4 linked regions of the Notamacropus eugenii genome follow. The protein of the gene in region 3 purifies or fractionates together with the protein of the main gene of each other region. This does not show direct contact. Links are inferred from orthologs where the notes say so. Each region holds a gene or a part of one and is shown on either strand. Other genes may lie near its edges.

The links.
Region 1: the proteins of INAVA (region 3) and SGF29 purify together in Homo sapiens (co-immunoprecipitation; 3 studies listed by BioGRID and IntAct, counting the BioPlex papers as one, with this or other methods). This does not show direct contact. The link is inferred for Notamacropus eugenii from reciprocal best matches to the Homo sapiens genes INAVA and SGF29.
Region 2: the proteins of INAVA (region 3) and CEP170 purify together in Homo sapiens (co-immunoprecipitation; 3 studies listed by BioGRID and IntAct, counting the BioPlex papers as one, with this or other methods). This does not show direct contact. The link is inferred for Notamacropus eugenii from reciprocal best matches to the Homo sapiens genes INAVA and CEP170.
Region 4: the proteins of INAVA (region 3) and CYTH2 purify together in Homo sapiens (co-immunoprecipitation; 3 studies listed by BioGRID and IntAct, counting the BioPlex papers as one, with this or other methods). This does not show direct contact. The link is inferred for Notamacropus eugenii from reciprocal best matches to the Homo sapiens genes INAVA and CYTH2.

The regions. Positions count from the first base shown.
Region 1 is NC_092872.1:46,716,045-46,723,078, forward strand, and holds the start of SGF29 (SAGA-associated factor 29), read left to right. Parts: upstream 1-4,019; 5' UTR 4,020-4,231; coding exon 4,232-4,339; intron 4,340-5,973; coding exon 5,974-6,069; intron 6,070-7,034. UniProt on the Homo sapiens protein: Chromatin reader component of some histone acetyltransferase (HAT) SAGA-type complexes like the TFTC-HAT, ATAC or STAGA complexes.
Region 2 is NC_092873.1:404,072,423-404,079,690, forward strand, and holds the start of CEP170 (centrosomal protein of 170 kDa), read right to left. Parts: upstream 3,011-7,268; 5' UTR 2,277-3,010; intron 1,725-2,276; coding exon of another isoform or gene 1,679-1,724; exon of another isoform or gene 1,451-1,678; intron 1-1,450. Other genes in the region: SDCCAG8 (serologically defined colon cancer antigen 8), read left to right, coding at 5,983-6,103.
Region 3 is NC_092873.1:439,804,423-439,811,720, reverse strand, and holds the start of INAVA (innate immunity activator protein), read left to right. Parts: upstream 1-4,297; 5' UTR 4,298-4,492; coding exon 4,493-4,700; intron 4,701-6,642; exon of another isoform or gene 6,643-6,804; intron 6,805-7,298. UniProt on the Homo sapiens protein: Expressed in peripheral macrophages and intestinal myeloid-derived cells, is required for optimal PRR (pattern recognition receptor)-induced signaling, cytokine secretion, and bacterial clearance.
Region 4 is NC_092876.1:12,827,919-12,835,845, reverse strand, and holds the start of CYTH2 (cytohesin-2), read left to right. Parts: upstream 1-4,921; 5' UTR 4,922-5,054; coding exon 5,055-5,073; intron 5,074-5,470; coding exon of another isoform or gene 5,471-5,546; coding exon 5,547-5,694; intron 5,695-6,185; coding exon 6,186-6,252; coding exon of another isoform or gene 6,253-6,342; coding exon 6,343-6,461; intron 6,462-6,574; coding exon 6,575-6,655; intron 6,656-6,858; coding exon 6,859-6,971; intron 6,972-7,216; coding exon 7,217-7,365; intron 7,366-7,755; coding exon 7,756-7,927. Other genes in the region: KCNJ14 (ATP-sensitive inward rectifier potassium channel 14), read left to right, coding at 982-1,584. UniProt on the Homo sapiens protein: Acts as a guanine-nucleotide exchange factor (GEF). Promotes guanine-nucleotide exchange on ARF1, ARF3 and ARF6. Activates ARF factors through replacement of GDP with GTP.

The sequences.
Region 1 (7,034 bases), on a different chromosome or scaffold from region 3:
ATGATGAGATTAATAATGAGATCTGCCCTGGACAAATGGGCTGGCCAATGAAATGAAGACTTATCTGAACAGGATATTCACAGAACTCTGAGCTTTCACCCTTTGCCTGCATATTCCTGATTACCTCATCTCCTTGCCCTCGTGGCACATTTCCTGTATTAAAATCCCTAGCTTCTCCTGACTGCTGCTGCTGTCTCACTGAATTAGAGTCCACTGGGTGCATCACTCCAAATCGATGCCCTTACTTGATTTGGAGACAGTCTGAGTCTGAATTCTTTTGAGACAACATTGAGACCCATGCCCTGCACTTCAACATGAAGATGTGGTCTGCTGCAGAGAATCATCTTTGAAATTCTATTTGTTCCATTTTGGTATTTTCGTGAAGAACACCCATTACTAAGTGTAAAGATCATTTTCATAAACACCTGACATAGGTGAAAAGCAGAACTATGAACTAACTCCTAATATCTTCTTGCACCTTTTCTGACATTAATGCTGTGATTTTTACCATTTTTACAATCTTCTCTTCTTAGAGGATTTCACTTAATGTCAGGAAGACCTGAGTTTAAATCTTGACTCAGACACTAGGTGTGTGACCCTGGGAAAGTCACTTCTTAGTCTACTTTAAGTTCCTCATCAATAAAATAGGGATAACAAAAACACCTACCTCCAATGGTGCTTGTAAGAATAAAATGAGGTATTTGTAAACTGCTTTGCAAACCTTAAAGTATATAAATGCTAGCTGTTTATTATTATGATGATAATGGTGATGATGATGAATAACAATGCCTTTTAAATTGTGTTGTGTCCAATACAAGATTTTGTTTGGTTGAGTCTTCAAATATTTGAAGAGTTATATGGAAGTGGGATTAGACATTCTCCTTGGCTCCAGAGAATAAAACTTGTACAATGAATGTAAGTTACAGAGAGGAAGTTTTAACTGCTAACAGTTACAATTGTCCAACAATAAAATAGGCAACTGTGTGGAATGGCTCAGGTCCCTACATAAATCAATTACTCAGAGGACTCTCAAAGTGATGACAGAAAAGTGATTTATTCGATTCTCGAGAAGCGGGGCTAACCTGTAGGAGTAGGAAAGCTGAAGACAAAGAAAAGGGCAGTGATTTATATAGACCCTAATGCAAGTCCCTCCTCCCCCCACTGACCATCATCCTCATTAGCTGAGAATATGATCTTACATTCTAGACACGAAATCTAACCAATCCCTTTTGAAATGAAGACATCGAGGAATTACATAAGTTTTATCCAGTCATTGAGACCCTAATATACTACACAGTTTTATATCCTTATATGGAACTATTCTATTCTAAAAATATTGTAACCTTGAGCCTCTAGGTCTTACCTCACTCCTGGGAGAAGAATTACAATCTGAGAAGTCTTCACTAAACCTATCCCACTCACTCCCTATTGAGGTAATGAGCTCCTTGTCACTTAAAGTGTTGCAGCACAAATTTTGCCCTAAAGAAGATACGAGATCCCAAAGAGATCATAAAAATGGGAAAGGGTCTCATGTACAAAGATGTTTATAGCAGCTCTCTTTGTGGTGGCCAAGAACTGGAAATTGAGGGGATGCCCATCAATTGGGGAATGGTTGAACAAATTGTGATATAGAAATGTAATGGAATACTATTGTACTATAAGAAATGATGAACAGGAAGACTTCAGAGAGGCCTGGAAGGACTTATACGAAATGATGCTGAGTGAAAGGAGCAGAACCAGGAGAACTTTGTGCACAGCAACAACCACAGTGTGTGGGGAATTTTTCTTGTAGATTTAGTTCTTCATAGCAATGCAAGGACCTAAAAAATTCCCAATGGATTTTTGAGGCAAAACGCCTTTCACATTCAGAGAAAGAACTATGGAACTGGATCGCAGAATGAAGTAGACCATTTTCTTTTGTATTATGTTTTGTTTTATGGTTTCTCCTATTCATTTTAATTATTCAACATGACTACGGTGAAAATGTATTTAATAGGAACATATGTGTAGAACCTATATAAGATGGCACGCCATCTTGGGGAGGTGGTGGGAAAGGAGGGGGAGAGAGGGGAAAAAATCTAAGATACATGCAAGTGATTGTAGAACACTGAAAACAAATAAAATAATTTTTAAAAAAAGATATGAGAAGAGACCTACACCCTTCTCCTACTCTTTTTGCAAAAATGGGGGAACTATGGGGTTTACAACATTGAATATATTGTCAGAGTTTTTTAGATATATTGATTGGTTTTTTTCTCTCTTATTTTTCATTTTTAAAAAATTCTTTGTTACAAGGGATGACTATATGGAAGATGCAAGGGAGAAGGATATAAGAAAAAATTAGGTGATGTAAAAACAAAAGATTATCAATAAAAATTTATGTCTTAAAATGTTTAAACAGATGCTAGGTAATAACAATTATTATTTATATAATTAGCTTTATAAAAATCGTCTAGTTTCTATCTTCACAAGGACCCTGGGAGATAGGTGCTATTACTGCATGAATTCACAGATGAGAAAACTGAGGCAGAAAAAGCTTAAGTGACTTACCCACCTAATAAATGTTTGAGGTAGGATTTAAATTCAGGTCTTTTTCATTCCAAGTACTGTGCTCTCATCATCTAGCTATTAGGAATGAGTAGTGGAATTTCATTAGGAAGGTCTGATTAGATAGTGATTAATCTGAAATTCAGAATTTGTCCTGTATTACTTGCTACTGTTTTATATGCATTCCTAGAAACTGAAGGTGAAGGATACAAACATCTCTCTAAACTCTTCATGCCAAGTCTTTCAGTTCTATGTTTAGTGATGCTAACCGACCTAACTAGGTAAGGTCCCAGTGATACAAAGTAGCTGTATGATCTGCGTGGGGGAAACACCTACTTTCTTTCAGCCTTAGGTGTCTTCCTTATTAAATGAAGAGACTCAGTTGGATGATTTCTGAACTGTCTTTCAGCTCTTAAGCATCTGTCACTCAGTGGACCCTAGGACAGGTACCTACTCTACACTTCTCCATCGTCCTCAGCAACGACCCCCCTCACTGATGATACTAAGAAGTAGATGGTTTGACTTCGGGCAACTAGGGGGGCGCAGGGACAGAGTGCTGAGCCTGGAGTCAGGAAGACTCACCTTCCCGAGTTCAAATCCGGCCTCAGACACTTACTAGTGGGAGCGTGGCCCAAGACCTGGGGGTGGTAGTAAGCAGGGGAGCTGGTCCTCTGTGGGTTCTGCCCCTCGACACCGCCCACTGCTCCTTTTTCTGCCCAGGTGCAGGCTGTTATCACCTGAAACATCGTTCTCCTGTACCTCGGCCACACCAATTTTCCTAAAATACCTCTTTCAGTATGAAAGCCCTTGTATGACTCCCTCTCTTCTCAACTCTACCTCCGTTTCCTCATCTAGCTGGAGAAGGAAATGGCAAATCGCTCCGGTATCGTCCCCAAGAAAACCCCAAATGGGGTTCCGAAGGGTCGGATACGACTGCACAGCAATTAGCAGAAAACCTGAGCTCCTAAGGCTCTGTAATACAAATCCTCTACAGATGAACGCAGAATCTAGAGGAACGTAAACCGGGAACGTGTAACAGGAAAAAAGACAAGATTCTGAAGCTTGCCAAACGCAGGACTTAAAACTACATTTCCCAGCAAAGAGCACGCCGGGCCAGCGCGTAGAAGTCGAGTCCCGGGTCCCTTTCCGCAGTCTCTTTGGAGAGAAAGACTACATTTCCCGGCAGGCCATGTAGGTGCGCATACGCAAGCGCACTAACATTCCCTAGCCCGGGAACGAGGATGAGAAAAGTTCAGGGGGGTTGTTGCAGTTGCCGTCGCTGCGGTCTTCATCGCCTCCGTCACAGTGGGCTCGTTTTGGCTCGTCCGCGGTAGGTGGGTTTAGGTAGCAGCCATGGGCCTCAGGCGGACCAGGGGAGCGGGGCAGCGGGGAGCGGCAACATCTCACCCGTTGTGCTCCCCCCATCCCGGGCCAGGCTGTGGTGCCCCAAGACACTAACAGTACGCATGCGCACCCTGCGGGGCTCCGGGAAGGGGGGCTGCGGGGAGGGGGGAGAGGTCACGCACCCGCCGCGGAGGGTTCTTTGTTCGCCGGGGCCGCGCCTGGCGTACCACGTGGGGGGCGGCCTTTGGAAGCACGTGGGCTGGTGGGGAGGAGGCAAAGCTTTCCGAAGCACGTGCTTCGGTGCGAGGAGCGCGGAGCGCAGGAGGAGCTGCGGGCGGCCATGAAGGAGAGCATGGCTTCGGCGGGTCCTTCTCCCGAAAGCCGCGGTAGTGATAGTGGCGGCCGTTTAGAAAGCCCCTTAGAGCGCTCCTTCCTGCAGCGCCACGAGGTCGGTAGCGCGAGGGAACCCCGGGGCTTTCCCGGGAGCTTGGGGGCCGACTTGAAGTTGGCTTAGTTCTTGTTCCCCAGCCGCCTTGGGAGGTAGGTAGTGCCAGGATCACCCCGTTTAACGGAGGAGGACACAGCGTCACCAGGTATCCCAGCCTGCCCAAGGTGCCGGGGCTGGTAGTCAGTGGGGGAGCCGGCCCCCTGGGGGGTCGCCCTTCTGCGCAGGTTCTGGGGGTTGTCCCCCGAATCATGGCTCTCCCGCCTTTCGGTCTGAAAGCCCTTCCCTGATCTCCTCTTTCTTGTGAGATCAGGTCCAGACTCCTTTGGTCGGAGTTGACAGGGAGCCCAAATGAAGAATTTTTCTAGGTGGAGACTTGTGTATGTTAGAAGGTAGTGGGGTTGCAGCTGTGTAAAGGGAGAAGTTACAGGTAAAAGCATCATATCACGCACCCCCAACCCCTTCATTTCCTTCATATGAAAACTGAGCTGCAGAAAAGCCAAGGGATATGTCTGAGAACACTTCAGGTAGTAAACTGCTGGGATAATAAACAGATGGGGAATTAATCCCCCAAATATTCTGATTTCTGTTGTAAAAAAGGAAAAAATTATGGGAACAAATCCCTTTGGGAGTTATAAGGGATGAATTTAGGAGGACAGCAGATTTCCTTGCTTTTGGTCTTTTCCCCCTTTCCAAAGCATCTTATTGCTAGAATAGTTTGAACGCTGAATTTGGAGTCAGAGCACCAAGAGTTCAGATAGCAACTTTTTTATTTACTACCTGTATAGCTTTGGGTAAAAGTGGCTTTCTCTCTGGGCTTTCCTCTCTGAGGAAGCTGACTTACAGATCTCTGAGGTCCTTTCTAGCTGTAAAAACTAGGTTCCATTAAATCAAAATTATCCAGGGTCCTTGCAGTCCAGGGCCCCTTCAAACAGTTACCTTACTGTGTCTTTTCACCTGCTATTGCTTCTATACATGACCCTTCTTTTTTAACCCCACTTGTCTTAACAGCTTCTGCAGGTGCAATGCTATCTCCTCCTTGTTGTTGTAGGTTCCCCTTCAGTAGAATTTCCCTTGTTTTTTAGTAATCTTAAGGCCTTCTGCTAAGACACATTTTTGCCTGCCAAACCTCATTTAAAACTTGGAATTTCCTTAATACCTGTCAGTAGTTTGAGACCTACTATAAACTAACTCAGTAATTCATAACTGATAAAGTTATCGTTTTTTCTTAGTATTAGCCTCATAGAATCTGGAGTTGGAAGGACATTTTAGTGATCACTTAGTTTTACAGATGAAGAAACTGAGACTCAGAAATAAATTTATTTGCATAAGGTCACAAAGCTAGTGAGTGGCATAGCTTTTAGTCCCCTGACTTCAAATCCAGTTTTTTCTCTTATCTCATGGATATTGCTTTTCTTCTTGATAGATTGTAAGCACGGGGAGGACATGGACTAAATCTTCTTTTTAAAATACCCCTGTTGTTATTGCAATGCCATGCTTTCTGAGCAACTTGTTTGCAATTGTTGCTGGATGAATTAAACTTACTGAATGCCCCAGTGTGGTTGGTCCTTTAGGAGCCTCCCCTCCCAGAGGTTTTTGACCATTCTTTTCTTCCCTTCCATTCCCCTTTCTCACAGAAAGCCATATTTACCACAGCCATGGCTCTGGTGTCAGCAGACTCGAGAATAGCTGAACTACTCACGGAGCTCCATCAGCTGATCAAGCAAACTCAGGTGATACTTGATTCTTCTCCTCAGAAGAGGGGATGACCTTGGGAAGACTCAGAGGGTGATTAGAAAGGGAATTAAGGTCCCATAGGCTTCCTTCCTACAGTGCTGAAAACATGATTTTAGAATAAACCAGTATTAGAGGTGCTGTTCAGTGCCAGAGGAACAGCGTTGTAAGTGGTGGTTCCTGAACAGAAAAAAGAACAGAAGTCTGGGGGGTTGGAGAAAAGGCTAGAGGACAAGTGAGCTTTAGGTCTGAAGGACAGGAGACTAAAGGGAGCAGAGGTTGTTGGACAATCTGATAGCTAAAATTGCAACTGAATTGGCTATAAAGTATTAATGATGTTATTTTGAAATGTTGATTAGATGTTCCTAAGTCATAGTAAGGGAAGTGAGATATTCAGGAAGTTTGGGGGTTTTATTTTCAAGTTTTATTAATTTTTTCTTCCCCATTGTACCATTTTAAATAGTTAAGCAAAACATGGATGAGGTATATATATATGTGTGTGTATACACACACACACACACACACACACACACACACACACACACACACACACACACACACACACATATATAGGAGAAACTAGGTATGCATAATGGTTACAATAAAGTTGTGGATAGGTGTATGTTTAAGCAAAGTTTTATTGATGAAAATAAGTAAAAACCCTAACCTTCCCTGCTTCCATTTCTTTAATTTCTCTCTTGTAACCAAAAAAAAAAAAAAATGAGTAAAACCAACCAACATAGAGACCTCCATCTGCATCTGAGAGACGTAGGGAGCGCAGTGGAAAGAGCATTGGCTGAGGACCCAGAGGCCTGGGTTCAAATCTTGTCTTTGATGCCGTCTGACATTTCAGAAGTGATATAACCTCCATGAGCCTCAGTTTCTTTATCTGTAGAAGGAGGAGGATGGACTAGATGACAATCTGAAGTCCTTCAGCTCTCAGATCTTTGATCCAAATCAGTAG
Region 2 (7,268 bases), about 36 Mb from region 3:
TGTTCTTTCTCCTCCCAACCTGAGAAGCTTATACCTGTCCGATTCTGAGTAAGTCCCTGAAACCTCAGTCTCGGTTACCTTATATTAATAATGTTATAGAACTGCTGAGAGAATTGAAAAACTTATGTAAAGCACTTTGCAAACCTTAAAGCTCTATGTAAGTGCTAGTTATTTTTATTATTTAGCCAGGGAACACAAAAGAACTATTATTTACCTTGTTGAATTTATTTTTGATTCTTATGGTTTCAATATGGCTGCTACAATTGCAAACATTATATATTATCATAGAGAAGCAAGGAGTGACCTAAGAAAAGAATTTTTACTCTCTCAGTGCCTCAAACAATGCTCTAAGATTTAGTTACAGAACAATTGCTAATATGCACTGGTAGAGGGAATTTCCTCTAACTGGAGTTCCCTACACCAAAAACATCATAGATCTGGGGGTGGAGAAGTAATAGAGGGTCAAGATCAGATAGATCACTTATAGTGGAATTGAGCATATATAACAAATTATCTTCAGATAAAAGTCCATTTTAGGACTAGAACCCATTTTTCTACAAGTTAATGATGCCTACGCATAAGTTTCATTTCCCTAATTTCATTTGTCTAGAACTTTGGCTTCTTATTTTTAAAAATTTACGTGTAAAATCATTATCAATTATTCTGATTGTGAAAGAAAACCCAAAGAATATGTACAGTACTGCAAAAAAAATGCACTCTGTACTAAATAAAAAATTCAGTTCAACCTCTGCAAAGACAGTACTATGGTAAAGGGGTTAAAAAAAAAAAACTACTCAGGAAAAGGCATTCCTAAATGCTACTCTGGAGACTGCAACTAATTTCTCAAAAAATCTTAGACAAAACACAATGTATACACCTGAGTTCACTTCCTCATCTACAAAACAGAGAGACTGTGTACATGATAAGGTGCCTTCCTAACATGAGTCTATTATGCTGGTACATGGCAATTATCTTCAAAGTTGGAAAGCAATCACTGCAAACCCGGCTTTCACATAATGGCTGAAACACGTTCTTCAACCACTTGGCATTTTCATAATTGAGTGACAACCCTAGATAGAGAATTCAAAGCAGCATTTCCCCCTTTCTCTTGATTTCCTCCTCATCCTGCTTTGTCCTTTCCTCCCTTCCCTCTATTTGCGGTCTGACCAGTATTCAGTTATAAACAACACTATTTAGGAACTGAATCATGAAAAACTTCATCTACATATTATCCATCACCCGGTGATGTTTCCTTAAAACAAACACGTAAACATCGAGTGCACGCCTTGGGCACGGCTGATTGAAGAATAACACAAAAGAACTCTTCCGAAATAAGGCACACCAGTACAGGATCCACACGGCAGGAAAACAAAAGAAAGCCCCTCGCGGGCTCCCCACGCGGGCTCCCCACGCGCGCTCCGGCGCCGGCCTGGGGGAGCCTCGCTCCACGGAGCGCTACAACACCTCCAGATTCTCAGACACTCGGGCCCTGCCCTCCAGAGGCTTACATACAGGCTGTGGAAAAACACACAAAAGAAATCCGGAATAAAGACGAGACCCACGTAGGAGGAGGCTTATGTAACGCGGACAGGAGCCCCACAGCCTCCAGACCCACACCGGGCACCATACGGAAGGAGCCCGACCCAAAGCCGACACCCGCCGGGGCATCGCGGGGACAATGAGGGGGACGACGAAGGCCGCCTCCTCCCTCCGGGGAGGGAAGGGTGAGGACGGCGGGGCTGCGACCGCGGCCAGGCGGGACCTGACACCGCCACACACGCACACACACGCACAGACGCACCCCACCCAACACACACACACGCACGATCTGGTCCCCTTCCCGAGTGTCCCCGCCGCTAGCGGCTCTTTCCCGCCCGCCCATCCGTCCCCTCGCGCCCTCCGCTCGGCGCGGGGAGGAGCGGCACAAAGCCACGGAACACAAAATGAATAAATGCACATTTCCAGGGGGAGGAGTCAGCCGGCAGCCGCCGAGGCCGCCTGGGTAGCAAAGCCCAGCGGAGCCCGGAGGGAATAGAGGGAAGGGGGGGGCCGGGAGGCGGGGCCGCCGAATCCCCCGGGGCGGGGGGGGGGGGGGCGCGGCGCGAGGAGCATCCGGAAAGCAGCACCCCCCCCCCTTTTCCTCTCCCAGCTGCACTCCCCCCACCCCGAAAGCCCGGCCGCACACCAGGGGTTCTCCTAGAAAGAGGATCTGGAGAAGGGGAGGCGGCGGCGACGGCATCACTGAGCCAGGCGGCTGAGCAGAGCGCATCACTTACCCCTCACCATAGCGAGAGGGACCGGACGGGGGAGGCGGGGCGCGTCGCGTCCCGTGAGTCTCTCGCACGCCGTCCCCCCGCCAACCCGTCGCCGTAGTCGTCGTAGTCGTCGTCGCTGCCGTCGCCCCTAGACTCCCCGTTCTCTTCACCGTGCTCGGCAATAACGTTATTCCACACACGCCCCACACATAGCGGTAACGGCAGAGAGCGGCCGCCCACTGCGCAGGCGCGTCAGGAGAGGCCGGGGAGGGAGCCCTGCCCCCTCCTCCTCCCCCAGCTCTCTCTTACTGCGCAGGCGCCAAAGGCAGACAATGAAAAGGAGTTGCCTGGAGGGTCGTTGTCCCACCCACACGATTTCGCAGCAGCCCACTGCGCAAGCGTGCCCCTAGGACCGGCAGAAACAATGAAGAAACTACTGTCATTAGCTTGGACTGCAACCAACAAGGACTACAGATCCCAGGGGGCAGTGCGCCAACTCCACGACAACTGGCCAGTTCCCTTGGCATGCTAGGATTTGTAGTCTCCAGGAACTACACATCTTTCACTGTTGAAATTGAGTTTTTTTCTCCAGCCAAGGCTACTCCTGGTAGTAGTAATCGAAGATGGAACCGTAAAAAAGGAGTCATAACGTTTCATTCGCTTAATTGTAGGAGTCCATGGATCAAAACCAACACTGTCTTCCCTCTACCTAAACACAATAAAACTTCATGGATTCTCCCTTACAGCAAACATTAGCATCTAATAGACTATGTAATTGTAAGGAGAAGAGACAGACAAGATGGGAGAGTGACAAAGGCAATATGTGATGCAGAGTTGCTGGACTGGTCATAGACTTATCCTTTCCAAACTAAATATTCGAATTCATCAAAAGCGCCGCCCCCCCCCCCCGCCCCAAGGCAAAATAACTACCAGAAGAATTAATGTCAACAAATTAGAGCTCTTCTCTGAGCATGAACAGTTTGCTGCTGACTTGGAGGGAAAATTGAGCCTATACACAACTGGCAATACTGGAGCCGAAAAGGAGTGGGAAACTTTCAGAGGCTTGGTGTACATCCCTGCATTTGCTCACAAACGCTGGTGTGATGGAAATGATGGGGAAATTCAGAAGCTGGTAAATGAAAAACAAGAACTCCACAGGATTTACCAGCAGGATAATTCATCCACCTCTAAGAAGGCAGCATTTAATTCCATCAAAAGCAAAGCTTAGAGAGATGTAGGATTCCTGGCTCAGTAAGAAGGCAGAAGAAATTCAGCTTTATTCTGATGGTAACAATCCAAAGTGCTTTTGATTCCCTAAAACCTATTTATGGACCAAAAACCTGTGGTGCTTCACAAGTACTCAGTGCTGATGGAGCCACATTGATTAATAATAAGGACATGATCCGAGAGAGATGGGCTTAACACTTCCATAGTATTCTCAACAGACCATCATCAATCAATGCTGAGGCCATTGACCATTTATTTTCCTCAGGTTGGAATCAATCTCTCCTTAGCTGAACTTCCAATTGAAAAAGAAGTTTTGAGGGCCATTAGGATCCTTTCATGTGGCAAAGCATCTGATGCTGATTCTATTCCAGCTGACATTTACAAGGTAAGGAAACCATTGCTCATACAATATCTAACTGAAATTTTCCAAGTTATATGGCAAGAGGAGGTTATCCCCAGGAGTTCAAGGATGCCTCCATTGTCCATCTCTATAAAGGTAAAGGAAATAGATTGTCCTGTGACAATCACAGGGGAGTCTTTCTCTTAGTCATTGCTGGCAAAATTCTTGCTAGAGTCCTTCTTAATAGGTTGATCCTTTACCTGGGAGATGGTCTACCTGAGAGCCAGTGTGGCTTCAGAAAGGGCTGGGGAACAGTTGATATGGTGTTTTCTGCCCGACAACTCCAGGAGAAATGCCAGGAGCAGAACAGAGGTCTGTACACAATGTCTGTAGATCTGGCCAAGACCTTTGACACTGTTAGTTGTGAGGGCTTATGGAGAATTATGTCAAAATTCATCAATATTGTATGTCAGTTTCATGATGGTATGTTTGCCTAGGTTCTGGATAATGGACAATACTCTCGTGCCTTCACAGTCATCAATGGAGTGAAACAGAGCTCTGTGCTTGCTCCCATGCTTTTTTAGTATGATGTTTCCAATCATGATGACAAATGCTTTCAATGAGGATGAACGCAGCATCAAGGTCAACTGTCATACTGATGGTAAGTTCTTCGATTTGAAAAGGTTACAAGCCAAGACCAAAGTGGAGGGAGTGTTGGTGCATGATTTTCTGTTTGCAGATGACTGTGCACTCAATGCAGCCTCTGAAGCTGAGATGTAACAAAGTATGGATCAATTCTCTGCTGCCTGTGCTACTTCTGGCCTAATAATTGACACCAAGAAAACAGAGGTGCTCCATCAGCCACCACCACACCATCCATGTGTGGAGCCATTGGTTACAACAAATGGAGAAGTTTTGAATGCTGTGGATAAGTTCACTTAACTTGGTAGTGTACTTTCCAGGGATTTACACAGTGACAATGAGGTTGATGCACACATTGCCAGAGCTAGCTCAGCGTTTGGGAGGCTCTGAAGAAAAGTTTGGGAGAGAAGAGGTATTAGACTGACTACCAAACTGAAGGTCTACAGAGCCATTGTGCTGACCTCATTGTTATATGCTTGTGAAACATGGACAGTCTACCAGTGCCATGCCAGGAAACTGAATAGCTTACATTTGAACTGTCTTAGGACAATTCTGAGGATCACCTGGCAGGATAAGGTACCAGACACTGAAGTCCTTGCTTGGGCTGAACTGCCAACTATTCAAACGATGCTTCAGAGAGCACAGCTGGGATGGCCTGGCCACGTTGTTCCAATGCAAAATGTATGCTTGCTAAAAAGACTATTTTATGGAGAGCTCATATGGGACAGGCGATCACATGGTGGCCAGAAGAAGCAATACAAGGACACTCTAAAGGTCTTTCTTAAGAACTTTGTATTTACCTGTGCAACATGGGAGACACGGGCACAGGACTGCTCAGCATGGTGTGCCCATATCAGAAAGGGAGCTGTGCTCTATGAACAAAGCAGAATTGAGACAGCACAAAGTAAACATGGAATGCACAAATTTGGAGTATCCAGCCCAAATATTCACGGGGACTACCTGTGCCCATCCTGTGGTAGAGCATTCTGAGCTCATATCAGTCTGATCAGCCACAGCAGACACCCTGAAATTTCACTTTAACACGGTGTTGTCATTTGGTCCTCTTCCAAGATGAAGAACAACCAACAATGGTAGGGCAAAGATCTTCAGAAGCTCATTTTTTTGGTAGTTGGGTGTTCCAGACTGCCTAAGAAACGAGAATGGGGGAGGGGGAAATTTGGAGTCTGAAGGAAGGGGAGGGTGGAGCCTCCAAGCTGTCTCCAGGCAACTGAGCTTGGAGGCCAAACTGTCTCTTCCCTGTGCGCGGTGCTTCCTGGGAACTGTAGTGTTCCGTAGACTTCTTCAGGGTCTAGAAAGCGGCAATACGAGAACCTGACGGACTACAACTTCCACTATCCATCATGGGGGCCCGCGGGTGGACAGCGCCCGCCCCCTCCCGCCAGCCAGGTCCTGCCATTCAGGCGCCCCTCTGACAGCGAGGTCTGGAAGCTAGGAGGCTGTGGGCCCGTTGCCCACCGAGGAGGTTCTGTAGGAGCTTCTACGGGCCGGGGTCACTGCATGGCGAAGGCCTTGGGGGATCCTGCCCCGGCAGAGCCCCTGAGGGACCCTACCCTGGAGGAGGCTCTGGGGGACTCTGCCCTGGAGGAGGCTCTGGGGCACTATCAGCGGAGTCTCAGGGGTGAGTTACGGGTCGTTTACCGCAGCCCCAGCCCCGGGCTTCCCCGGGCTTCTTTCCACGGTCTGGGCCGGCGCTCCTGGATCTTTCCTCCGGTAGCTCGTGACTTGTGTGTTTTCCAACACTTGTGTGAGTTCCTCCCCGCCACGCGGGCAGCCTGATGCCCGGGAAGGCTTGATGTGCCCAGGGTCGGAGTAGGGTTGGGATCCGGGGCGTTGCTTAGCTTCAGAGACATGGCCTTTCTCTCCTCCTTGTCGGGGTGTCCTCCTCATCCCTCCAGCACCGCTTCTCCTTCCTCTCATGATCGTTCCCCAGGCCTTGTCCCCTATACCCCTCACCCCATTATTTCTTGATGTTCTCTTTAACGCATCCTGCTTCCTGGAGTCTTCTAAAGTCGGCTTTCATAGGCGCTGTTGGGTTAAAATTAATCAAGAACCGTTAGCAAAGCACCCTTTATTGATTGAAACCAGATTCTCTTGGAAAAGATCCTTGCCCCAGGATCGTTATCCCCGGGAACCAGATAACGCCTGGGGCGATGTCGCTCCGAGCCCAACCACCAACTTTTCAGGTTTCTGTAGGAACTGGGTAGCCCTGTTTGCTGTCATCCTAGGTGAGTCACCTGATGACTTTCGGGTTTTAATCAATGATCACATTTGATGGGATCTCAAGTAGGAAACAGCCAACGTTGTGTCTACTGAAATGGCAGGAATTTAAACATTGGTCATCTTTATTTAATGAATACCCTTCTGAACCTGATGAGTGAAATGAGACCTGTTCACTTTGAAAGCAGGAAACAGTTTAATAAAAGTAATCTTTTTGTTTTGTTTTTATGAAAATAAAGCCCAAACGTTCTAGTTCTAGCTCTTTGAGGGTTTCCTCCCTTGCATATCTGGTAGGACTGGCTCCCTCTCCCACTGACAAGCTCCTTCTGTCAGTTCCCTCTAGGAAGGACCCCAAGAAAATGTACTGATTGGGACAATTAAAGAACAGTCAAAATCAGCTGAAGCAATAAAGGTGTCACTTCCTCCTTAACCTAAACACCTCCAACTCCATTGCTCCATTCACTATGTAGTAAGAACTCATTTAATAATCATTATACTTTACTTAGTATTTCTAGACTATATTGACTTTCAAAGTCATAGTTATTTCATTATTAGGTATATGGTCA
Region 3 (7,298 bases):
AAAGCGAGCCCAAGAACTATCTTTAATAAAGGGCTCAGTTTCGAGGGCCCTCCTCACTCCTCTCCCTCAGATTACCTTGTATGTCCTTTGTTTATATTAATTTATGAATAAGTTGTGTCTCCCGTGGAATATAAACTTGTTGAGGGAAGGAATTCTTTCTAGCACTGAGTCTAACCTCTTTCTTTCTTTCTTTCCTTCTTTCTTCCTTTTCTTTTCTTTTTTTCTTGGCATCCTTGTGGCATAGCATAATGCCTAACTCATAGTAAGTGCTTAATAAATGCTTCCTCATTGAATGATTTGGGGGGAGAGGCGTAGAGAAGGGAATCAAGGCATTCGCCTCAGCGGGGGCCACCTTGTTCCATCTAAAACTTTTCCATTTCCAGGTCTGAATCCTGACTGTCAACACCTGTGTGACCTTGGGCACATCACTTCACCTCAGTGGAACTCAGCATGGACTAGAGAGATAACCTCTAAGGTCTTGGTCTGAAAAGAGTCCTCTGGTTTCCCTTCAGAACTACACTAACCATGGCTGGGAGGTTGCCCACTTCCCTCCTTCACTGGCTCAGTTTCTCAGGTATCCTAGGTCCTTTCCTTGCCTTTGACATGCCACCCCTCTCCCACCCCCCCATCCTTACTCTAGATTCTTCTTGCTGAGTGCTAAGGTTCAGTAACAAGACCTGTGGGCGCCTTCTACTTTTCAGTACAACGCCCCAGTAGCCCTGCCTTAGATACAGCTCAGGCACTGTTCAGAGCAACGTGGCCTCAGCATAAAATACATCCACTTTTGGCTATTTCTTTATCAAGGTCATTCTGCTTTCTTAATGCAGAGAGGGAAAGCAGAGTTTGGTAAATTGAGGCACAGGGAAATTGGAGCAGAGCTACGCTTAGAATCCAAATGGTAGTGTCTCTGTTCTACCTGGCAGTCCCAGAGAAGTAAACGCCAGACAGCTCTTTACTGTTCATTTTCTTTCAAATTTATTTCAAACCCAGTTCAGATTCTTAGGTGGAAATACATCCAAGGGATTAGTCTTTTTTTTTTTTAATCTTCCAGGGACATAATACTCACTGAAAGGTATGGGATGGGGGCTCCATTTGGAGGTGGGATCCCCTCCAATTGAAGGATTTGTCCAAAAAATTGTTAGGTAGGGAAGGGGAAATTCTTTGGAGAGTTCTATTTCTATTCACTCTGAGGGTCTGAACTAGGACATAAGGCACGTAAAGGACTTTCCTGGGGATGGTGGTAGTGGGGTGGGAGTTAGGGGGTATGCAGAGTGTGATAAGAAAGTTCTCTTGGCAAATGGTGCCACCTCGTGGCTTAAATGGGGTCATGTAAACTGATATGAGAGAAAGAGACAATGACAGAGACAGAGACAGAGAGACATAGACAGAGACATAGAGACAGATATTGAATCCAGATACCAAGGTGTTTTCTATGGCCATGGAAAAGATGAACCCTCCCCCCCCGGAAAATCATAAGTGAGACAAATAACGATGAAAACAGGAAGAGAAGTAGTGGGACAAGGATGGAGACTCAGGGAGAGATGTGCCAGAGGAAAGGGAGACTGAGGAAGGATAGGGGAATGAAAAGCAGAGGAGGAAGACAAACCGAGACATCTAGATCCCCAAGAAACTGCTTAGTGGCCTGGGCTCTTTACTCTGCTGGATAAAGAGGCAACGGGATGGGAAGGCAAAGAACTCTGCCCCTCTGGAGTCAGAGGACCACCGATTTAGAACCAAAAGGGATTGTAAAGGTCATCTGGCTTGAGCCTTTTATTTTACAGATGAGGAAACTGGTTAACAGACTTGCCCAAAGACTCCCTGGTGGAAGAGGCAGGATTCACACCTGTAGCCACTGATTCTAAGGCCAGCCCTATCAGTAGATCTAGGTTTGAATCCTGACACTGTCACTACCTGTGTGACCTTGGGCACATCACTCCATCTCAATGGAACGCAACATGGACTAGAGAGATAACCTCTAAAGTCTTGTTCTGAAGAGAGTCCTCTGGTTTCCCTTCAGAAATACACTAATCATGGCTGGGAGGTTGCCCACTTCCTTCTTCCAGTGGCTTAGTTTCTCAGGTATCCTAGGTCCTTTCCTTGCCTTTGACATGCCACCCCCCTTCCCATCCTCACCCTAGACTCTTATGCTTGGACCCTAGTTAAATGATACTCCCCAGTCTTGATGGAGGATCTGAGAAAAGACCTCTGTCACTCACCTGCTCGAAGCCGATAACCTGGCTACTGCATCCTCGACCCAATCCCAGGGCAGAGCCTTCTAGGGTGGCTGAGAACAGAATGAGAGGGGCTGAGGGGAATTCTGACTGCTCCCTGGCAATACCAGCTGCCAGCACTATGACCAGCCACCTTGCCCTCCTGTTCTTCAGGATGCGGTCTGGGCAGGAAATGTTGCTGATGGGGCCCTGAGTCATTCTGGGGTTTCAGAAGATGTCTTGCCCGAGGGCAGAGACAGGTCACTGTCTGGCCCCTCTCTGGTTAAATCTCCCCTTCTCCTTCCCAGCCTGTTGTAGTAAAACAAGTGATGAAGATAAAACAACCAGGGATTTTCCTCTCCAGCTAAAGCAAGGGCAAGGAATGACAAGGTGGGCAGTCCAGAACACATCCCAGGACAAGGGCCTTCCCACAAAGGACTCCACTGGGCGGGGGGAGTGGTTTGGGAAGAGGCTTAATGAGAGGAAAGGGCATACATAATGGGGGCAACATCCCCAGTGCTGCCAGGCATATCCCCCAAACAGCAATTCTGAGGGCGTTCCCAGGGGCACCAGAGATGCCTTTCCTTACCTCACCCCCTGAATAGGAAGGAGAATTCTGTTTCTCTCACAAGCAAACATCTATCTGTCCCTTCCTTTGTTCCTTCCCTATTCTTGCCCCTTCTTGGGGAGGGAATGGCGGGTAGTGATGCCTACTTTTTCGGCTGGGAGTTGGAGTTGGTATCTTCAAGACAGCATGTCTTCCATTCTGGTAAATGATGTACCTTTTTATCATTGGGAGCCTGGGATTTGTTTTTTCTTCCTAGGTTATTCCCCGAAGTTATACGCTCACCCTTGTAGAGTTTGGGGGGACCAGATAGGTCATCAAATTCAGTCCTGACAATTTAATTCACTTCAATAAACATAATGTTTTGGACAACGTGCTAAGTCCTGGTGACTGTTGTGTTTGTGTTTAGTTCTTGAAGAGGACCATGACATCAGGGAGAGGATGACACTACTTGCAGTTGACTTGGATTTGAGGGAGAGAGGGCTGTGCAAGGTCACCAATCTCGCTTTCTCCCCCAGAGCCATCTGAGTCCAGAGACCTGATTTATCAGGAGGACTGGAGATGACCCAGGATGCAAGGGGAGACTCTGGCCTTTTTAGGCCTAGGTCACTTAAAGTGAGAATGTGATAAGTACTGGTGATACAAAAAGAGGCAAAGTTCAGTCCCTGCCCTCAAGGAACTTCCAATCTAAAGAGTGAGAGACCAACAAATCTATGCAAAGCAAGCTATAGACTGGATAAATAGGAAATAACTAACAAAGAGAAGGCAGTGCAATTCAGAAGGTTGGGGGAAGACTTCCTGTAGAAGGTGTGATTTTAGTTGGGACTTAAAGGGAGTCAGGCTGAGGGTTCTAGGCCTGGGCAACAGGGAATTGTCAGGAGTTGGGACATGAATATCTTATTCTGGGAATAGGCAGAAGGCCAGTGTGTCCCTGGATCAAGGAGTACTATTTTACAGATTATAGGAACTGAGGCCCAGAGTGGCTGAGTGAATTGACCAAGGAGTACATAGGTCCCAAACAGCAGGGCTGGGATTTGAACCGAGATTTTCTTCCAACTCCAAACCCAAGGCTCCTTTCACTATGGCACAAGGTCCTAACCCTGGGGAAATGGGATATTTCGAAGGGTCCGTTCTCCTGGCTGGAAGGTGGAGGCAGATCTCCGACTTGGAGAGGCACCAGGCCACCATCCCGGCTGGCCCCCCGAGGGAGGGAGACCTTTAGACAATAAACTTCGATTAGGCCCGGACTCCGAGCCAGGCACCGTGCTAAGAAAGGTACCGGGCAGCCTCCGCCCTCCCCGAGCATCCACAGCCGGGATTCAGAAGTAATCCGGGACTTTGTCTTGCTTGGGGGTGGGGGTGGAATGGAGGAAAAGGAGAGTGGAGGAAGGGGCGTGGGGGTCTCCGGGCTGTGGCTTTCATTTTTGTACCCCGGGGTCTGCTGGAATGAAAAGTGCAGGGCGCCAGGCGCTCCCCAGATCAAAGGCGCTCTCTGAGGCTGGGGCCCTGAAAATCTGGGCAGACACAGGGGGGTGTGAGGGGCCCTGCACCACCCCAGATCAGGGGCAGAGGGGGCCTCCCAGCCCCACAGGCCCCTGGCCTCCATGGTCCCTGCGCCTACTGGACCCTTCGATCCCAGGCCGGGGTCCTGGTCCCCCCCCCGTGGACCTGGATTCCCGAGCCTCCTTCAGAGCCCCCCTTCCCTCTGGCCCTTGGTATGCCCCATGGGACAGATGTCTTGGGATCTTTAACATTTGGGATGCAGCAAACGCCGAAGTTAAATGAAATCCCCGCGGCTGTGAACCAGTCAGGGCAGCCTCCTTCCGGGAGCGGGAGCGGGAGCACGCTGCGGGAGGCGGGCTCCCAACCTCTGCGGGGACCCTGCGGAGAGGGCTGGCGAGGCAGGCGGCCGCCCCCCCGTGCAGGTGAGGCTGGGGGCTGGAGAGGGGCCGGCCGGGGGTGGGGGTGCGGAGTGCGTGGTGTGTGTGTGTGGGGGCGCGAGACCGGGCACCAAGACGCTGCGGGGGGCGACTGGACAGATCGGGGGGACGCGGGTCTCCCAAGCAGGACTGCCTGCGTTACCGCCCCCCCTCCCACACACACACCGTGGAGGGAGGAGCCGTGGAATAGGGATCGTGGGTGAAGCTAAGGCTGGACGGTGGGGGGCAGTGGGGGAACAGGACAAAAGAGTTCTTTAAAGAAGGTGGAGCGAGGTCTGACTTCAGTACCCACTCTAAGCCTGCCTCCCGCTTGTTCCCCTGCCTCGGACTTCTGCACACACACTCACACACCGGAGCACCCTTTCCAAGGTAGGAGACCTGCCCTGAACTTTGAGGTGGGGGAGCCAAGGGAGAGAGGGGGGCACAAGAGTGAACTGATTGCCATCAGTTCTTAATTGGCCTGGGCTGTTTCTCTCCTTTTTTTTCCTGTCCCCTACTTGGTCTGTCTGTCCCTGTGGTTGAATGAATGAACAGTATGAATGAAATATACCTGCCTCTGCTTTAGATACTTTAGATGATACAGAGATTAAGATAGGCTTCCTGCCCTCACTCAGCTTACCCTCCACTAGACCAGTTTACCCTAAACCTCTAGAATAAGAGGCAACTTTGCTGTATCTTTAAGAGACTAAAAGGAAGAGTCCCCACTCTCACCCCTTTTTGAGTAGGGAAGTCTGTGAGACTTTGAGTCATTCAGTTCATACCATGGGAGAAAGACATGGATGAAGGGTTGAGTTAGGAAAATCTAGACGCTTAGCAATCCAGTGTCTGGAAGACACTATCCTTTGCTAAATAGTGGGTCAAATGGCCCCAAGGGTCCTCCAAAATTGCTCAGGCCTATTCAGAGTCCCTCCTATCAAAGCTGTTTTCCTTTCGACCTCAGATTGACCCTCCCTCACTTTCCCCAACACATACTCTTTAACTAATCCATGTTATGTTAGTGTCCCCCAGAAGGTAGAGGAAGTGCTGGGAGAGAGGGGAGCAGAGAGCATCCATTTAGGTCAACCGGAACTCTAGGGATTCAGTGAGAACCAGATTTTAACATCAATATGGTAGAAGATACACTTGCTTCCTCATGCTTCCTCATATATTACACTCAGGAGGTGTGGGAAATTCTCATTATTCCTAGTCCATCTTCCTAGCTGGAGCCTAGAGCTGTGGGTTGCTTCCCTACTTCTTAGAAGACATACCTCTAAAGATTGCTGCATTCTCTTCAGGCTCCCAGTAAGAGGAGGTGGGGGGGGGGGGGGGAGGGGATTTTCCCTGCCTGGGCCCCTCAGCAGCAACCCTGAGGTCAGCTGTGGAGGGAAGGATCTGGTGGTCAGCTGGGAGGGCCTCGGGGAGGGTATTGTTTGGAGAGGGTGTGGGTAAGGAATGTGAGAGAGCCGGCTAGGTGTAAGGGGAAAAGGGGGGAAATGGAGGAGATCTAGCTCTGGGAAAGCAATAAAGGGGGAGTGGGGAAGAAAGGGGTTTGGGAAAAACAGAAACAGGCCTAGAGCTGAGTTGGTGGTAGGCCTGGGGACAGCATTCAAAACTCAATGACTGGAATCCTCTGCAGAGGGGACTGGTACTAGTTTCTGGTTGCTATTTGGTAGCCCTGGAGTTTTCCACTTGAAACTTTGGCTCTTGGAAGGCTTTGGAGACCCTGAGGTGTTGGGAAATTTCAGGATGAAAAAATTCAAGAAAACTGATACTCAGTCTAAAACATTCCATATCTGACCCTCAGTTTCTTTCTCTGTTAAATGGGGGTATTGGATCCATCATAATCCTACAAGTCACACCTCCTATAGTGCTTTAAGGCTTACAAAGTACTTTACCACAGCAGCCCTGTGAGGTAGTTAGTGTGAGTATTATGATCTCCATTTCATTGTGAGGAAAGGGGTCCAGAGAGTTGAAGCATCTCATAGCCAGTGTCAGAGGCAGGATTCATGTCCTGATATAGCCTCCCATATCCTGACATCCTGCTACACCATGAAAGAGTCATAGAATGAAGATGTGTGACCACAGCTAGTCGCTTCTCTCAGTGACCCAGGTAACTCCTGAAGACTAAATCACATAAGAGTTTTGAAGTGCCTGCTGGGTATTCCCTTACACTAATGGAAGCCTAGGTCTAGACCTCCCCAAGGTACTGTTCTAGGTATACAAAGATATCAGAGATACAAAAATAGTCATTCCTCATTAGCATACTTTTATCAGGTATGTCTAACACCATATTGAATGCTAGGAGTGATATAATACTTGACTTAGCTGAAGCCTCAGACAGCTTATAGTCTAATGGGTATAGGGACGTGAGGATGAAGGAAGAATGCACCGAAATGAAGGAGAGTGAGATAGGCGGAAAGGGAGATCCAGGCAAACGTAGGAGAAATTTGGGGAGGCAGAGGTCACTTGCATGTTAGGAAGGTGGTTAAGAAAGCATTCATGGAGGATGAGGCAGCTGGATTGGGATATCAAGAAAAGGAAACACTTTAGAGAGAGATGGACTCCGAATGGAGAGAGATGTGGAGGAGTCCTTTCCAGGTGTGA
Region 4 (7,927 bases), on a different chromosome or scaffold from region 3:
GGCCCCGGGGCCCCGATGGTTTGTGGCGACAACGTTGTCTTCTTGTCCAGGGTACCTAGGAAGCCACAATTTCCAGTAGCCCTTGGGTTTGGGGCTGTCCCCATCCACGGCCCTTGGATTGGGGCTGGAGACCCAGGAGCTTCTGAGGGATCCTATGGCTAAGGACCGCAGCCCCCAGCCCTCTGAGGCAGGGAGGGCATCCCCCTGTAGTCTGTAGAACAGCAGCCTCCGGCACTCCTGGGAACTAGGGGCTCCCTGAAGAAGCCATGACCGCCACCCAGTCTGGAAGCGAGGAGCACCCCAGGGGTTCACAAGAAGGGAAGTGTGACTCTTCCCTGGTTTGGTTGAGTCCCAGTAGCTCATGGGAAATGTGGCTTCCAAAGGCACAGTCAAGGCCAGCTGGGCCCCAGTGGAGACTGACCCTGGGAAGCCCAGGTATCATCGTGGTGTTCTCGGAAATTCCCATCCTGTGGAAGGGCTAGGACTGGCCCTTCCCTGGGTGGGGAAGTCACTCCTTCTAAATTCCTGTCCTGTACACTGGCTCAGGGCCTGCTCTGGCCTCAACATCCTGACCCTACTTTGGGAAGGCCACCTTGAGAGTGGTAGTTCAACACTGTCCAAAAGGAATTGGGTGGGGGGAACAGATCTCATTTGAGGTTGAGGAAGGAGACCTGCTCATACCACCTCCAGGCCATGTCTCTGGGTCCCCTTCTGACTTGTGAAAATCATTTCTTGTGTCTTTCTCCATTTCTGTGTGTTCCACCCTGGCCTCCTGGCCCCTGGTGTCTTTGTGGATGGCCCTTGGTGCAGGCCGCTTCCCCATTTCTGCTGCATTGTTTTGGGGATGGCCTGATTCTGTTTGCATCTTGGTCTCTCTCTCCATCCTCACATTACCTTTTCTTTCATCTCCTTTTCTTCCCTATGTGTCTGTCTCTCTGCTCTCTCTGCCCTTTGTCTCTGACTATCCTGTACCTGTCCCAGCCTCGAGTTACCCCAGAAGGCGAGTACATTCCCCTGGATCACCAGGATGTGGACGTGGGGTTTGATGGGGGTACAGACCGCATCTTCCTGGTGTCGCCCATCACCATTGTCCATGAGATCGATGCTTCCAGCCCCCTGTACGAGATGGGCCGGGCTGAGCTGGCCAGGGCGGACTTTGAGCTGGTGGTCATCCTGGAGGGCATGGTGGAAGCCACAGCCATGACCACCCAATGCCGCTCGTCCTATCTGCCAGGGGAACTCCTGTGGGGCCACCGTTTTGAGCCTGTGCTCTTCCAGAGAGGGGCCCACTATGAGGTGGACTATCGTCACTTTCACCGAACCTACGAGGTGCCAGGGACCCCCATTTGCAGTGCTCGGGAGCTGGAGGAGCGTCGGGCCCTGGGGGACAGTGACAGCCCTGGGCCCAAGGGTGGCCTACCCGGCACCCTGGCTGCCTTCTGCTACGAAAATGAGGTGGCCCTCAGCTGCTGCCAGGAGGAAGATGAGGTGGAGGAAGAGAGGGGTGAAGCCCAGGTGGAGGGCAGCTCTGGAGCTCCCACCCCACCCCCACCTCCATCCCCTGAATTGGCCCCACCTCCTTGAAGGGCTGGGGGACTGCAATTCCCAGTATCATGGACCTTGGCTGCCTCAGTGGTGCATCATGTTACACCCCTCCCCAGGAGTTGTGGGAGTTGTAGTCCTAGGTTGGGGAGCAGCTGGAATCTAGGCCCAGGGACTCCCCTACAGCCCTAGAGCCCCTTCCTTCTGTGGGGCATGGGCTAGGATGGAAGGGGAGGCAATGCATGCTTCCTGAACCCTGGACCTTAGGAATGGGGGAGGTGGTTTATGGGTGGAACCTTCTGGATGAGTTGAATCCATAGCCCCTCTTCACCAGTTTCCCAACAAGGGGGAATGAAGGTCCCCCTCCCTTCTACCCCTATGGACACCCTCACGTGACTCCTCCCAAGTCCTTTCCTTCTGGGCTTAATCCTGCCTGGAGTCCAAGAGGTAGGGGGTGGCCAGGGTTGTTCTAGACCCCTCACCCTCAAGAAAAGACTGGGACCCAGGATACCCATTGGTCCAGGCCCCTGTTTTGGGAGAGGACAAGCCATGGAGGGTCCCAGGTCCTGGGGCCATGAGGAGCCTGGCCTGGCCTCCAGGCTAAGAAGCATCCTGGATGCTCTGGGCCACCCAAGTAGCCAATGTCTTTCTCCAGAATGCCGTGCATATTAACTATCTACACATTTATATATATACATATATACTCTCCATAATTTTTCCTGATTTTGCTGCAGAAGGGGTGGGCAAGAGTGGCCTTGGTCTCAGGAAGGAGGTCATTCTGGGCAAGCAGGAGACCTCAGACTGGAATCCAGCCCCTTTCCCTCTGTTTCTCCTGTTAACCAGAGCGGGTTGGAATGTGTTTCCTTCAGCTTTGCCAGCTGGGGAGCCTATGACCTCCGCACCCTGGGAGGTGGCATCGCTCACTAGCCTCACTGGAGACTTTACTGGAAGGCCCTAGAACAAAGCAGGTGGTGTTCCTGTTAGGACCTGGCACGGCCTCTGGACACTGGGAAAGCTGCAGCATGAGTCACCCCAGACTGAGCCCTGGGCTGGGCTGCCCTGCCTTGCCCCTGCCTAGGCTCTGGGGCAAGTGAGGAGGAGACTGAAGGACCCTGGGGTCCTTTCCACCATTGCCTGGGGGTGGAGGGAACCGGCTTGCCCTTGCCCCCAGAATAAAGAATTGTGAAGCCATCTGTGTGTGTGTGTGTGTATGTGTGTCTGGGTGAGAGGGGTGAGGGGTGGCTGCCACCCACAGTCCTGGCCCTTGGCCCAATGCCTCATTTTCATGAGTGTGCCTAGGGAGAGGTGCCAGCTTGCAGTGGGGGCTTGAGTCAGGGGAAAGAGTGGAGGCACCCAGGATCCCATCTGGGCCCTCCATCCTCCCCCCTCCAACCCCACCCCTCACAACCTGGACCTTGGGCTCCCTCCTGCTTCCTGGAGCCCATGCTTGGGTTCAGGGTCTTTCCCCAGGGTCCCAGCTCTCCCATATCCCACCGTACTCCAGAGACCTCATGGCCCTTTTTGCCCAGTCCCCCATCCTCCAGAGGCCCCATCCCTCTTTCCCCAGCCTCCTAAGGTCTCTTTCATCCCTCTGAAGCCCTGTCTTCCCCCTTCACCCCACCCCCCTCCTATGGCCTTTATCCATCAGTAACCCTGATAAGGACCGGAAGGAATTAATTAGCCAGGCCGCTGCAGGATTGTAGGGGGAGAGAAGGTGAGACCTGAGGCCTCAAAGGGTGGGGGGAGTGCTGAGGATGCCCAGGTGGGATCAGGAGGTAGCCTAGGGAGAAGGGCATGGCAGAAGACCTAGGACCCCTTCTTGGATACCAGGAAGAATATGGGAGCTTCAGACTTCCTGAAGGTCAGAACAGGGACAGGGAGGGGATTAAGAGGCAGAAACTTTTTCCATGGCTAATCCCTGGGGGAAGCTGGTCACCTGGAGGTGAGGAAGGGAGCCACAGCAGGGTCATCACCTCCTTTTTCCCTCCTGTTTCTTCACCAAGAAAAGAGCCCTACCTAACTGTGCACTCAGAGAACCTGGGCCTCAGTTACCTCATCTGTAAAACAAATGGATTGGATTAGAGGTCAAAGATTCGCTCCCACTAGAGATGTGGTGCGTGGACCCTGAAAAGGGGAGGGGTGCACAAAGGCAGAGTTAGATTTGCAAGGGGCCAGAGGTCATCTGGGCCAACTCCATCATTTCGGAGATGGGAAAAGAGACCCAAAGGTGATTTGGTCAAGGTTCCCCCAGGCAGGAAGTAGCAATTTGGAAATGCAATCCCTACTAGGAACTATGTGGGGGAACAGGGGAAAGGACAGGAGCCCGAGAGGAGGCAGGAGGAAACAGACAGAGTGTGAGAACTGAGGTGAAGGGAGAGGGACACCTCCAGAGGAAGACGCAGTCTGCATGGAGAGGGAGGAGATGAGGAGGGGAAGGAGTCTGGATAGAAAAGGAGTCAAGGGAGATGAGGAGAAGGTGGAGGAGAAGGGGAGAAGTCTAGATAGAGGGGGAGGAGTCAAGGGAGATGGGGAGGAGCCTGGATAGAGAGGGAGGAGTCAAGAGAGATGGGGAGGAGTCTGGCTAGAGAGGGAGGAGTCAAGGGGAGATGGGGAGGAGTCTGGCTAGAGAGGGAGGAGTCTGGATAGAGAGGGAGGAGTCTGGATAGAGAGGGAGGAGTCAAGGGAGGGCCCAGAGTGAGGCTAGGAGTCTGAGAAGAGTCTGGGCAGAGGAGAGGAGTTTGAGAATGATGGGATCTGAAGAAATGATGAGAAGTTAGAGGGAAAGGGGTGGAGCCAGAGAAAAGGGGAGGAGCCAGAGGAGAGGGCAGGAGTCTAAGAAGGGGAGGAGTCCATGGGAGAAGGGAAAAGGATTTGGTAGAAGCACAGGGTGGGTTCCCTTAGAAACACCGCCCTCTTCCACAGCCTTCAGCTGTTGCTAAGCAACGGAACTTTTTTTCTTTCTGGATCCCAGCTCTGTTGCCGCCCCTTAGCAACGCACCGGCTTGGAGAAAGGCTACCTCCCCCCGTCTATCTCTCGGCCTTCTCACGCAGGCGCAGACACTCTTGCCCATCTCAAGCCGAAGCCTTCCCTAGTCTGCTCCCTGTCACTTTTTCAGGGGTTGATACTCCCGATTCTATGCGCACCGCCCTCCTGAGCCGGGCCCCAACCGTCATTGGGTCCAGCTTGAGGGGCGGGGCCCTGAGCCCCTTCCACGGAGTTCCATTGGCTCGCTCGGTCACCCTCCCCTTGTCCACCGAGGCAACGCGGCCGCCTCACGCCCCGCCTCCGCCGGGCTTCATTGGCCCAGGTAACCTGCCCCTCGACGCCCATTGGGCCCACGGAAGCCAAGCTCAGGTTCCCATTGGTCGGGGGGCGGCCCCAAACGAGAGCGGAGGCGGTGGCGGCGGCGGCCCCGGGAGCGGCCGAAGGGGCTGAGCATAGCCCCAAGGACCTGCGGAGAACCGGTGGCCCGAGCCACGCTACGGGCCCGCGCCGGGCTGCCCTGGTCACCATGGAGGACGGAGTCTATGGTGAGGCGAGCGCGGAGCGAGCTCCGGAGGGCTGGGGGGCTGGGAGGCGACGGGACGTTCCATTCCATTGTTCGGGACGATACCATTTCCGGCCGGCGCAGGGGGGCGTGGTCGAAACCATTCCCTGGGCGAGTCCATTTCCTGCCTATGGGATGTACTATCCCAGGCGCACATGGGGGGGGCTCCCTTGGATCGGGAGACACCATTTTTCTTGGAAGGGGGAATCATCCCAGGAAAGAATGAAGGCGAGGGTGGAGTTTGGGGGGGCAGTTGAGTGGAGATAAGGGGGAAGAATCCAAGGCTTCTCTCCCCCAACCCCGCTCCCAAACTTAGTCCTAGTGTTGTCCGTGCTCTCTGCCTCAGTTTCCCCGGGAGACCTTTGCGCACCTTTCCCCAGACATGTCCCCGCACGCGGTCACGCGCGGACGCACCACCCCTGCGGCCAGCCCTCACCCCCCCCCCGTGTCCCCCAGTACCCCCAGACCTGACCCCCGAGGAGCGCCTGGAGCTGGAGAGCATCCGGCGGCGCAAGCAGGAGCTGCTGGTGGAGATCCAGCGGCTCCGCGATGAGCTCAGCGAGGCCATGAGCGAGGTGGAGGGGCTGGAAGCCAACGAGGGCAGGTGGGCAGCGTGGCGGCTGGTGCCCAGGACACGCTTGTTGGTGCAGCTGCGGAGCTGGCTGCCCTGGGCCACCCTTCGGTGTCAGAGAAGGGGTTGGGGGGCCCTGGGACCCAGCCCCAGCCGGGAGCCCCGAGACCCCAGGGGACCCCAGCGGGAGCCCCGAGACCCCAGAGGACCCCAGCTGGGAGCTCCGAGACCCTAGCCAGGAGCCCCGACACCCCAGGAGACCCCAGCCGGGAGCCTGAGACCCCAGGGAACCCCAGCTGGGAGCCCCGGGAGCCCCAAGACCCCAGCGGGAGCCCTGAGACCCCAGTCAGCCCTGAGACCCCAGGGGACCCCAGCCGGGAGCCCCAAGACCCCAGCCAGGAGCCCCAAGACCCTAGGGGACACCAGGAAACCCCAGCTGGGAGCCCCGAGACCCCAGCCCCAGCTGGGTGTGGGTAGGTGGAAGGTTCCCTAGCTACTCACAGCTCCCCTTCCCACCCTTGCAGTAAGACCCTGCAGAGGAACCGCAAGATGGCCATGGGGAGAAAGAAGTTCAACATGGACCCCAAGAAGGTGCCAGGGCTGAGGGCAGAGTTATCTGGGAGTGTTGGGGGGCCATCAGACCCCACCTCACTCCCACCCTCTCTCCTAATCCCTCCGCAGGGAATCCAGTTCCTGGTGGAAAATGAGCTGCTGCAGAACACGCCTGAGGAGATCTCCCGCTTCCTGTACAAGGGTGAAGGCCTCAACAAGACGGCCATCGGAGACTACCTGGGGGAGCGGTGAGGGCGCAGGAGTGGGCACAGGGCAGACATAGGCATGAGGCAGGAGTGGGCATGGGGCAGGAGTGGGCATGGGGTGGGCAGCTCACAGTGTGCCCTTTGTCTCCCCCCAGGGAGGAACTGAACCTGGCTGTCCTCCATGCCTTTGTGGATCTGCATGAGTTCACGGACCTCAACCTGGTTCAGGCACTGAGGTGACTGCAAGCCCCCCCTACTTAAGGAAAACAGCCAAGACCAGAGCCCACCTCTGTAGGACCCTGGACAGGCAGTGTGTCCACTCCCAACCTGTGACCAGGGGGGCCCTCTCCTTGCTGCCCCTCTGCCTCTCAGGCTCCCATAGCAAGGGATGGGAGTCCTTTCCCTGCTGCCCCTCCTCACTGCCTTCCATCCCCCTCAGACAGTTCCTATGGAGCTTCCGCCTCCCTGGGGAGGCCCAGAAGATTGACCGCATGATGGAGGCTTTCGCCCAGCGCTACTGCCTGTGCAACCCGGGAGTCTTCCAGTCCACAGGTGGGCCTGACCCAGGGCACTCAGAACATTACCACAGTATCCACTGTTTGCTGGCACATTTTGGGGATGCAGAGAAAGGCAGATGGGATGGGGTGGGGTGGTGGGGCTGAGGGCAGGGCAGGAGTAGGCCATGGGAATTTTTCAGGGAGGCCGATTTAGGGACTTCCCTGCAATCCCAGAATTCCCAGAGAGGAAGGTGGTGAGCTCCCCTTTCCCCTCTCCTTCTGCCCCTCCTCTGAGTGCAGACACCTGTTACGTGCTCTCCTTTGCGGTGATCATGCTCAACACCAGCCTGCACAACCCCAATGTGAGAGACAAGCCGGGTGTCGAGCGGTTCATCACCATGAACCGGGGCATCAACGACGGCGGTGATCTTCCCGAGGAGCTGCTCAGGGTGAGGCTGCCACCTGCCCCTATCAGCACCAGCCTGTGCCCACAAATGTTGGGCTAGGGCCCTCTCTGCCATCATCGTGGGCTGGTTGGCTTCTCCTGCCACCTCCCCCCACAACACCTAGCCTGTGCCCATAAATGCTGGGCCAGGGCCCTGTCTGCCATCGCTGTGGGCCGGCCGGCATCTCCTGCCACCATTCCACCCCTGCCAGCCTGAGCCTGCAAGCACTGGGCCTTCTCTGCTGTGGCTCTTGCTGCTGCCTGGCTGGGCTCTCCTTCCCTCCCTGCCTGGGTCCCTGCAGCCTCTATCCTCCTCCCTCCTGTGAGCTGCCCCTCTCTCCCAGACATCTCTCAGCTTGAGGTCCTCATGCACCCTCCCTTCTCTTCCTCTCAGAACTTGTACGACAGCATCCGCAACGAGCCTTTCAAGATCCCCGAGGATGATGGCAATGACCTGACCCACACCTTCTTCAACCCTGACCGGGAGGGCTGGCTCCTCAAACTGGGTACGGCGCCCGGGGTGGAGCACTGGGGAAAGGGCCGGGCGGGCCGGCCGGGAGGGGGCT